3 linked regions of the Schizosaccharomyces pombe genome follow. The gene in region 3 interacts genetically with the main gene of each other region. Each region holds a gene or a part of one and is shown on either strand. Other genes may lie near its edges. The genes, in order: trx1, grx1 and met6.

Region 1 (3,196 bases), on a different chromosome or scaffold from region 3:
TATGTTAGGATGTAAGTGTTAAGAACATGTCGACGGAGCGTAATCATTACTGTGATTTTACTCCATAAATGTGAAATTTGATTGTTATAAAACAATACTTAACGAGAATATTAAAGATTTTATTCTAATAGAATACAAAAATATGTTTGCTACTCAGATCAACATAAATATTCGTTGGGTTAATTGTATAATGTTATAAATAAAGAGTAGCATGTATTTGAGCATGTAATCAAAAAGGATATTTATTCATCCAAATGGTATCATTCCAAATTGGTATACACTCTCCAATGTCTATCTTAGAAGGATAGGAGAATAATGTAGAACAGAGTCACGAACGCCTAACCAAAAAGTCGTATTAAATATTACAAATGCTCAAGGCGGTCGCAAATTAGCTAGCTTGTCTGAAAAATGCCCATGACTAGATTACTACGCCTGGTCGATGGCACATTACTATTATTGCGATAATTGTACGCAAATCGCCGTTCTGCAACTTCAGTAGAAAAGATGCTAGGACAAAAATACTTTTCCCAATAAATTACAACGGTGCATACACAAAGAAAAGCAAAACATTTATTTTTGTTAAATAAAAATATTTTGTATTACAAGTTCATAACAACTAACTATCAGATTGCGTAAATTAGAGGTTCGCCTTAATAGAAGCCTCTAATTTAGCAGGATTAGCACCTACGATTTCTTCAATCTTCTCACCATTCTTGTAAAGGAAGAAAGAGGGCATAGCGTGAACGCCAGCTTCAGCTGCAATTTCACTTAATTGATCGACATCAACCTTGATGAAAGTGGCATCAGAGTAAGTGTTGGAAAATTGCTCAAACTTAGGAGCAATGGCCTTGCAAGGTCCACACCAAGTAGCAAAGAAGTCGACAACGACAAGCTTGTCTTGGCAAACAATAGATTTAAATTCAGAAGAGTCGGAGACTTGTTTCACCATGTTGTATATAAATGAAATGGGAAATTAAGTTAAAAATATATACTCAAATAAAGAAAAAATCGATTTAACGAGTAAACAGAAGTAAACCTGAAAAATTCAAAAGACGTTGACTTCAGGAGTGCAAATGAACTTTGTCTCTAGTATACTTATACGATGGTGCGACGTGCCCGTTTATATATTATTGAGAAAATGTGTAATTTATAAGTTCGCTTATTCTAGTAGAAAGATCGAGAGCGTACATTGTGCAATCACCGACGATGAGGTAATGAGCTACAATAACGAGGATATGGTGCCATTCTCTGCCATCAACCTACCAATTCGTTTCCTAATTTTCTATAACGCATTTCGGAGTAATACTTCATGGAATTACAACGAATCACAAATCGGAAACCTGACAATTAGTAAACAAAGCTAAAGAAGCCATCTTGTTGTTATGTCAGCTTGTTAATCGTGGATTCTCGACAAACATGAGATTATAAGCAATTAAAGCATCAAAATAATAAGTATGTAAATGTAAAGATTTTCTTTTTTTTTGGTAAGCTGAAAGATTATGCGTGCTCTTTTCTTTGCTGTACACGATCTAGTTAGTGGAGTCGAAGTAATGTTAAGAAAATTTTGTTATAACAACTGAGGTACTGATATGAAATTACAAATTAAAAGACATACAAAAATGTAAAATAGTGAGGCGATATTCCTACTGTTAACAAAATCCATTTTACATATAAATGGCGGTAGAAATTGGAAAAGGAGTATAAATATGCAGTTTATAACAGTGTCACATATACTTGAAATTCTGAAATCAAAAAAAAGTTAATCGCCAGTCAAATAATTCTTTGCGGTAGCTGAACTTTCGTTAGAACGATGAACGATATTTTAATTTATGTTTTTTCCATGCTACTTCCTCTAGAAACGGTGTATTGAACCATCGCTTTATATCAAATTCACGTTATGGCGAAATAGTACAATGCAGTTTTCAGCTTGAGAGGGTAACCTTTTACATACGCATCCACAGTCACTTTTTCTACAGCTACTTTGGCTTTAACAAAGTAGAAAGTTACATTTTTTTTTTTTTAATCAACGGCAATTATAGGGATGGTGAAGAAATTTTTTTTTTTGAAATTTTTTTACGCTCTTTCGAAGCATTCACATTTTAGACATCCAGAAGCTATTGAGCAGCAATATGTATTAAAGAATTCGAAAGTACCGTAAAATGAATTTTCTTTCTTCTTTCTTTTACCTTATATACCGGCAGTCTTTTTCATCACTGCAGTACTGATATTCACATTTCAAGTAGCAACCGTGCTTCGTTACTTTATGAGAATGCACGGCAATTCAGGCTTGGACCTAAATACTTGTATTCCCAACTTGTACCGAGCACAAGCATCAGAACTCATTTCCTACAAAGGATCATCTTAAAAATGACAGACGTTCAACTTCAAAATATCGTTACCACCTTTGGTATCTCCATGATGCTCTTAATCATCCTTTACCATTACCTTTCACGTCCTCAAGCATAAAAGAAAGAGAGATTCATGTCTGTTTGTCTAACTTACCTTTATAGCTGCACTCTTCGTCTACGTTTTTTAAATTAGTCACTCTTTCAATTAAGGGAAGTTACCTTTGGTATTGTTGTGAAATGGAATTTGTACCTGCATATCAAAATGATTATATTACGAAACAAAATATGTCTTATTATTTGTTCCGTTAAATATTGGATACACTTGTATTACTTTTTTCTTATTTTCCTATCTCTTTTTCCTTCCTTCCCTATTTTCTACATGCTGGCCAAATAACTTTTATCATCTACTGTTGCTTGTACTAAAGTGCAACATAAAATAATAATACATCTTTAAAGTTCGTCTCTTCTCAAACCCCGACTAAATATTAATACAAATTATCTTTTTTTTTAATAAATGTTATTTTACACAATCAATAAGAATCGCGGTATCCTGACGGCACGCTTTTCTTAGTATAGAAAAGGTATAAGAGTCCACCGAAAGTCCAAACTTTGTTCTTTGTTCTTGACCGTACAAGCATAAGAAGAAGAGATTGCTACCATATTGCAAAGTACCCATCCCAAGACTAGCCATATTAACCAGTGTTGGGCAATCAGTGCTATTCCAGTATAAACAATGATTTCTCCAAGGTAATGGGGGCCAGTTATCCATTTAAAACATCCTTTTTTTAGGACTAGATATTGCGAATGATTTTTTTGAGCAATCAAATGTTCATGACTTGCATTCTGCC
Region 2 (3,437 bases), on a different chromosome or scaffold from region 3:
TCAATACTAGGACAGAAAAACTGATCATATTCTTCTGTGCTTTTTAGAGAACCTCCAAAAAGGACCTCTTTATTTTCTATTGCTACCATTGTTTGGCAAAACTGAAAATTTTTGATTCAACAAATATATTTTCAGACAATCAACCTATTAAGCATTTATCCCGTCTAATAGTGGAATTTCTGTATTTAAAACAAAAAGGAAATCAATTCAATTCAGTAGTGAGTAAGGAAAATAGCTATTTTTTAGTTTGCTACTACAGGAATTGAAGATTGGAGTTGGGAACTCTGACTAATGTACCCAGAAATTTATAAAACCCAATTTTCAAGAATAGGTTCAGAAACTCTTCGAATTTACAGAGGTCTAATGATAAAGGATAAAAATGGCATTAATATTCCTTGATTTTGTTTTACCAGTTCAATAATTAAATTTTCAAAAATTTAAATCAGCTAGTACAAATTGTGCACAGATGAGTTACTTAATAAAGTAATCGAAAAGAGCAGTATTTCTCGAGTGATTTATTACTCAAAATAAAAGCAAAATTTATGTGCTATGTTGTAGTTAGTAGCTAGGAAAAACAGCTGCATCTAAGTTCTATCATTAGCTTTAAAATACCACAGATTTAGATTTAAGAGCTTTATAATACAGGTTTCTTCAGTTTGAGATATGTAATTTAAAGAAAAAAATTTATTGCTCATAGAATTTCATTAGGCAGTATTAAAAAGAGAGTCGAGCTCGCCCTTCTTGAATAATGCTTGGAAATCCGAGTTACCACCAACATGCTTTTGGTGAATAAAGATATTGGGTACGGTACGTTGACCGGTCTTCTTCAATAAGTAAGCTAATCAAGGAGGTTAGTATGCTTTTTTTTATACCATCCATTTTATACAGACTCAAGGTCTATTATATTATAGACAGATCTAAACTAGCATCAAGCAAAACAACAGATGCAATAAAAACTTACATTGAATCTCATCACCGTTGTTCATAAGGTCAATCTGGTATACCTGAGCCTTAATTTTCTTATCAGCGATCACCTTTTCAGTAGCATGGCAGTAAGGGCTAAAATTAAGAGTTAATATCACTGCTTAACAAAAAAAATTAAGTAGTCGGTTCTAGGCATATGGAAGTGTAATTTGTTAAAACAAAAATACAAGCGTTCAAACTATGGTAAGCCAGTGTGACAAATACACGCCCTTATGCAACGATTACTTTACTAAGCAAACGTACCAGTAAGACTTGGCAAAAACAACAACATCGTTGTCAGCAACGGCAGAGTCAACCTATACAGAAATGTTAGTACCCTGTAAAAGAACATTTTACCAAAATTCAGCGACATTGTGGTTAATCTCTGATTCTAGCCAAACGGATACGTACAAATGATTCAACACTAGACATGGTTCTAATAACGTAACAAACAAAAACCTTTAAATTTGGTGGTATGTGGTAGGCAGATATGTATTATCAGTTGTGTATTATATATATGTGCATGGTTTTCCATATTGCTAATTCATACGTCAGTGGAGCACGTATCCCTAACGTTAGAAAAGTCTAGTAGACTTATACGTTAGTAAACGGTTCAATAACCGAAAGACTAGCATATGGCAGGGAATATAATGAATTTTATGATTTTTATTATTTTTTTTTTAAAACCGCCTATAATGATTTCGTGCAGAGAATTGTACTAGTTGGATGTTTTCTGTTCTGTATGACTTGTTTATTCTAGCGACTTAGCGTGCTTTGCATTGTTATGAATAATAAGACTAAATGATTGCGATTTCGAATAGATTTCATTTATTTACAAATCTTATGAGCTCTGGCTACAACAATTAATTAATTAACGGATTTAAAGTGCATAGAAAAAAAAAGGCTAACCTATTTTTATAATTGCGTATGTTTAACTTGAATTTTCGTTATCTGTTAAGTAATAACAGTCAATCAATTGAAATAAAAATTGTGAATTGAGACCAAATATACCTTCATCGAAAAACCCTGCTTAAAATCTTTTTATTATCTATTTTAGTTTTCTGTGTCGATTTGTTACGCTAAACCATTTTTAAGCTTCTAATAAAGCAATGATATTACCTTGCTCAAAAACATTTGCTCTTGATCAACTTAAGCTATGTTGCCTACCCATTGACATGAACGTCAACAATTTAGCTAATTAGATAAACTAATGATTTACTATTTTCCTTTTTAGAAAAAAATTCTGGAAAATAGAGCTGTAAATCAATTAGCATTTTAAATACATGATTCGATGTTTCATCTGCTAACTTTAATATACGCAATTAAGTAGATATTTTTGAATAATGACTCTAAGAACGTCTCAGCATTATACAAGCATATCCTTAAAGATTTTATCAGATACTTCCTTTTATATTAAAAAATGAAAGGTTGTGATTCAAACACGTTGCTTATCATTTAAGATCGTTAGGGAGGGCTATAAACAAAAAATTGGAAACTGAGGATACTTTACAACAGCGCTTTGATCCTTCCCAAAGAAAGATTCATAATTTATTTCCTTTAAATAAGTACTTTTTTTAAAAAGCTTAAACTATTTACGACTAAGTCACTAAAATTCGTAACCAGAAAATCATTAAAAAGCTTTATATAGTGAGGGGTAACGATAAGTAAATCCACCATGCTAATCTAAAAAAATGTACTCGCTAGAGATGCAGAGATAGTTTATATTGAGAATATTCAAAAAAATATTATTTTACTGTTTACCATAGCTTTCGAACATATCACAAAAGAGGGAAAAACCAGAGCCTTTTTATTCAGTGTTAACTGTATTTTGAACTAGCAAGGTTTGACGTTACTCTATTGCTCTTCTCCCTTTAATCTTATTTTGTTTGAGCTTGTCTAAAAAAAAAGGTTTCTCCTCTAATACATTAGAAAAATTTAAACGCTATCATGACAACTTGTTCAATATGCAACGAATCAGAAATAAAATATAAATGCCCGAAGTGTTCATTTCCTTAGTATGTGCTTGTAAGCTCAGAACAATGCATTTTGTTTCAATACACATTAACCCATGAACCAATGCTTTATTCTTTTTTTCTGTTTCCTAAAAATACTAATATAGAATTAATAGTTGTTCATTACCTTGCTGGAAAATCCACCAAAGTCAATGTGAGACTGTAAATGACAATAACACAACAACATTCAAAGGAGTTAAAGAACCTTTAAACCCCCCAGAACCTTCTCCTAATGTTATCTACGTTAATGGAAGAATCCCAAGTTTAGCAGAAGAGGCATTGCCAAGTGAAAGTCTTTTGGAATCTATTGTCGAAGATCCTAGCATAAAAAATTTAATTGAAAGTAATGCCGAGCTTTTACATATAATGAAAGAATTAGTGAACCTTGACCGTGAGGAAGAGGGTTCTGTTCCTCTGAAAACCTTAGATGCTATTCAGCAACAGCGGCTACACAATCCATCT
Region 3 (4,787 bases):
ATAGTACGCAAGGCCTTCATGGCCATTCTAGAGGAATTACGGAAAGACATTTTTTACCCAAAAATTTTTGATTTGGAACTGGTGTTCTTGGCAAGTATCTCTTCTAGATATACTGAATTTCTCTCTACTGCTTTGTGACTGCTTCTTGTGCTTCCGTCTAAGTAACAGCTGATGGAAAAGAAAGATAACGTAGCGGCTTGTATTGTGTTATAAAAATGTAAACAAAACCACCAGAATACTCCTTTTTCAAGTTTAACAAGATTTTTATCATGTCCGGTGTAAAGGCACGTGAATATAGAGCTTTGTGTTCTCGAAATAAGCACTTTCATAAATGATTGACCCAGTATGTTGTGATGTAAACCATAGCTTGGATACGGTCGGTGCGTTGTTTTTCCTCATGACCGGCAAGGATCTGTCGCTAACTCTACGAACCCGGAAGAAGCAATCTTGATTTTGCCCCAGATATCCGCTTCCTAGTCCGAGTTCCAATAATCTTATCCTATGCTGTATTGCTCTCTCTTCATACCACGGTGGATTGCTACATTTGTTTTTCCATAGTATATCGAATTGTATTCTCTTTATCCACGAAATAAAACTTTCAACAAAAAAAAAACAAAATAGTTTATTAAACATTGTTTTTATAAAATCTATATATTAAACACTGAACGACTGTAAATCCCATCAACAAACGCTTCATAGAATTTTTTTTGGTGGCATTAAAAAAGAATTAGTCCCCATGTTGGAGGGGTGAGAATGTAATTTTCAAATTTCATATTGTGGCAAAGTGATTTCGCTAGATACAACTGGAATATTTCCATATACGCATCACTCTTCAAGAAGATGCATATCTATCCAAGAATCGGTTAGACGAATGCAGAAAGGGTTGAAATAGGTTTAACAAGGTTTTGGCAATTTCTATCAATGTATACTACATTTTCTTCTTTCTTAAAGAAAGGCATACAAGGAAACCATCCAGCTCAATCGCTCTCTAATTCACTGCCCGCAGGAACCTAAATTGACAAAACAATAAGAAAAGAAAGGTGGAATGAGAAGTTGAAAAGCTAACGAAAAAAACCATGTTTTGAAAATTAACATCCTTTTTAAATAAAATAGTCATAATATACGTTTCAAGCTCATTAACGAAAGTGATCGTGTTTATACATGAGGAGTTGAATCCTCAAGTTGACTAAACTAGCACACGATCTTTCTCCCCAGGCCGTTGGTCCGTAGGATACTTATACCACTGTAACACCAGGATGGTAACCAGTAGGATAACTATTGGTAAGTTATCAACAATCCTAAAAACACTTTACTTACCAGGAGGTTATGTCTTCCATTTCTCCAAAAACGCTTTCGCGGTTGGTATCATTAACTTGGGAATCAAGTCGCTCAAAGGAATTAGTTTGAGACATGATATCAATTAAATGTTCCTTTTGGAATTTTTGAATATGTGAGTTTACTTGAGTAAACTCAAGCAAAAAACCGTCGTGGCCTTCGGCCGAAATAATTTTTTCCAAGGTAGCATTGGGAAAAGATTTGGCAATTTCAACTTGTTCGTCAAATGTGAAAAGACCATCGCTTTCAATACCGAGTACGAGTACGGGTAAAGACAAATCCTTCATGACTTCCTTAGGAGAGTCTGAACCGCGTCCACGAGTAATATCATGGGTGTCCAACTTTTTAGTAATCGAAATGTAACAATTAGCATCAAAGCGACTTACAAACTTCTTCGCTTGGTAACGTAAATACGATTGCGCAGAGAAGTAAGTATTAGCAGGACGTCTTAATAACGAACTCTGGTTAAGGGAAGAACTGTCTGTAGTCTGAGAGGCACCTAAAGAAGGTAAAGACGAGACAGAAGAGGCGGGGGAATTTAAAGCACTTTCAGAAGTAGGTGATGATCCATTGGATCGACAAGGTCGTTCACGGCGATTACGGTTTCCTTCGTTGTGAACGACCCAATGTGCATTACTGGGCGTGAGAGGAGTGGGTAAACGATCTGGATAGGGGTGACGAGACGCATCAGGAACAGTACGGGCAAAGCGACGTTCGAAAGAACATTTGGAGCGATATGTCAACAAGGCAGACATACGAGCAGCTCCAAGGCCACTTACAGGCTGATCGTCTATGCCGTAGTATCCATCATTAAACTTAGGGTCAGAATATATACTCTGGCGTTGCGCTTCAGACCAGCTAATGCACCACGCGGAATGACGAAGAGAGGTAGAAATGGGAACAATTGATCGCACAAATTCCTTATCAAATGCCCACTCCAAAACCAGCATACCACCCATGGAGCCACCTACTGCCATAGCAATTTGCTTTACACCCAATCTTTGTAAAATAAGTTTATGGATGTTTACATCATCACGTATGGTTGCTAAAGGAAATTCTGGCCCATAAACACTATGAGTCTCAGCGTTCCATGTAACAGGAGAGGCGCTTCCGTATGGGCTACCAAGAGAATTAAGGCATACGATAAAGAAATGTGATGGATCAAACGCACGACCAGGACCGAGTAAAGGACCCCACCAATCTCCAGCATCAGCAGAACCACTTAAAGCATGACAAAGAAGAAGACAATTGTTTCCTTCTTTATTCAAAGTACCCCAAGTCTTGAAGGCAACGGGAACATCGTAAAGGATGTCGCCACACTCCAACGTAAATTTGGGAACAATTGCAATTTTTTGATCTGAAATAAGCTGAACAAATTTATTTTCTTGCTGAGACGGATGACAGGAGTCAGTAAAGACAATTGATTCAATCGGAGATTGAGATTCCATTTTTATCAAACGATTGATAGTCAAATTTTGAAAAAATGAAAGAAACTAAATTTTTTGATAGAACTGAGTTCTCAAAGATGTAACTAACAAAACTCAATGGTAGGAGTTTTAAATAACCAAAAAAAAATTTTTTGACAAAAGCAGATTAGTGTAAGGTTTAACACAAAGAATGAATTACTTGCTTTTGTGTTGAGTAAGCAAATACAATTAGCTTCTCTTCTTTTAAGCGTGAAAAACAAAAAATCGAAAAACCAGAAAGTTTTTACGAAAAAAAACCAAAACTAACGGTATTGCGCAGCAATAAAAATTTTAGGTTTTTTAGTACCAGGAACGGTAAGCAACTATATTTGCTAATTTGTTAAATTCCAAAGTTACCCAAAAACACTTGAATACCAAGATTTTTTTTCCTATTCGGTTATGGTGAAAGGAGAAGTGGTAAGTTTATAAACTTTTATCTCAACCTAATTTAACGGTCTGCTTAGTATTTTGTTAGACAACATTAATTGAACGGTAATCAATAACCGAGTTTGGTATACGGGTACTTCATAATATGCTATTCAAACAACGAGACTTTTTTGTTATCTTATATAAATATAACAGTTTTAACCGTAATTTCAGTAAAATCATGTATGAAAAGGATGAATTTATTAAAAAAATTACAAAGGCTAATGTTTTATAAAAAGTCATTTCATGGATCAGGACTCTGCGAGATCAACTTTCGAAGATAAACGAATCGATAAGGAAAAGGTGTAATAATGTTAAATAAACAGGCGCTTGGTCTAAATAATGATTACTTGCTAGTTTCCTTAAATTTACAATTAATTGACTTGAAGCCAATTTTAAACAAGTGTTTTCAACGTTAAGTGTTTTAGTTTATCAATTTACAAATGAAGGAATACTCAAGACATATTTTATGACCCAGCCAAACCTGTAGTTCATCCTATTCAAAAAGGTTAAGGCAATTGAACAACTTGCGCCCTTAATACTAAGTAGCCGTAAGATATATCATACGATGTTCCATGAAAAAATATTTATATCCACGCAGAATTACAGTCATGTAAGTTTTTTAGGAAAGAGTAAAGGCACCTATTCTTTTAATACAATGTCTCCCAAATAGTCAAAATAATTATATAATTATAACAAGTATGCTTGACTTTTGTGATCTATCAGAAGTTGAGCAACAATGAGAGTCTATTGTAATCGATATGTCTATGCTTAATTGCTTGTAAAAGTAGACATTTTAAGTTGTTGACTGCTACTCACCAACTCGTACTAAAAAATTCGTCTGCTATGACTAAACGATTACTGTTGTCCAGTCCAGTCGGCAGTTAGCCAGAGCCAAACACAAATAATCCCACCGCATGCTTTGTAACTGCAAAAGCTCGGATTTCATTAAAAAATAGCTTAGAGTATAAACGGAGTGGAGTAATTTTTTTTTTGAATGAGTTATTTCTTCCAATATCATAAATCTTAACCCTTCTGCTTTTTGCATAGTTACGACATGGTAGTATACATCGTTTTATACACCTGCCTTGCGGGATTTATCCTTTTGTTCTTGGTAAGCAATATTAGCTAGCATGCTTCTCATTCATGTCCACCCGTCGGTAAATAAGGTCGTTGCGGGCAGAACCTGTTTAGTTTATCTGTACTTTCGATTTTTTGATGTGACATTAGACCAAATTTTTCCCCGAATATTCATTAACCCAAATATAGGTTTACTATTATTTAACTCATTCTCATTGCCCGAGGAAGCAACTGGAAGGAGAGGAAACATGTGTATTCATTGAGAACGGTCAAAAAAAAAGTTTGACTCTTGAGAAGTGGAGCACTTCTGATAATATACAAATAACGGTCATTGTTCCCGCGTATAATGAGTCTAAACGAATCGGAAACATGCTCCAAGAGACAGTCGATCACTTGGAAAAATATTATCGTTCCTCTTCTTCAGCAGGACAACGTCGGTGGGAGATCCTTATAGTTGACGACGAGAGTAAGGATACGACG

The links.
Region 1: mutations in met6 (region 3) and trx1 impair growth when combined (synthetic growth defect), as found in Schizosaccharomyces pombe (one study listed by BioGRID).
Region 2: mutations in met6 (region 3) and grx1 impair growth when combined (synthetic growth defect), as found in Schizosaccharomyces pombe (one study listed by BioGRID).

The regions. Positions count from the first base shown.
Region 1 is NC_003424.3:2,623,210-2,626,405, reverse strand, and holds trx1 (cytosolic thioredoxin Trx1), read right to left. Parts: upstream 1,074-3,196; 5' UTR 950-1,073; coding exon 638-949; 3' UTR 551-637; downstream 1-550. Other genes in the region: SPOM_SPAC7D4.08 (uncharacterized protein), read left to right, coding at 1,074-1,364; oligosaccharyltransferase subunit Ost4, read left to right, coding at 2,368-2,466; dfg10 (steroid dehydrogenase), read right to left, coding at 2,916-3,196. UniProt on the Schizosaccharomyces pombe protein: Participates in various redox reactions through the reversible oxidation of its active center dithiol to a disulfide and catalyzes dithiol-disulfide exchange reactions.
Region 2 is NC_003424.3:4,872,227-4,875,663, reverse strand, and holds grx1 (glutaredoxin Grx1), read right to left. Parts: upstream 1,446-3,437; 5' UTR 1,396-1,445; coding exon 1,375-1,395; exon of another isoform or gene 1,281-1,374; coding exon 1,228-1,280; exon of another isoform or gene 1,060-1,227; coding exon 962-1,059; exon of another isoform or gene 894-961; intron 839-893; coding exon 705-838; 3' UTR 613-704; downstream 1-612. Other genes in the region: ceo5 (TTC27 family TPR repeat-containing protein), read right to left, coding at 1-89; hit1 (HIT zinc finger domain-containing protein), read left to right, coding at 2,911-2,978, 3,092-3,437.
Region 3 is NC_003423.3:4,088,044-4,092,830, forward strand, and holds met6 (homoserine O-acetyltransferase Met6), read right to left. Parts: upstream 3,206-4,787; 5' UTR 2,784-3,205; coding exon 1,318-2,783; exon of another isoform or gene 1,276-1,317; coding exon 1,236-1,275; 3' UTR 643-1,235; downstream 1-642. Other genes in the region: ilv5 (acetohydroxyacid reductoisomerase), read right to left, coding at 1-50; dolichyl-phosphate beta-glucosyltransferase Alg5, read left to right, coding at 4,285-4,341, 4,497-4,787. UniProt on the Schizosaccharomyces pombe protein: Commits homoserine to the methionine biosynthesis pathway by catalyzing its O-acetylation.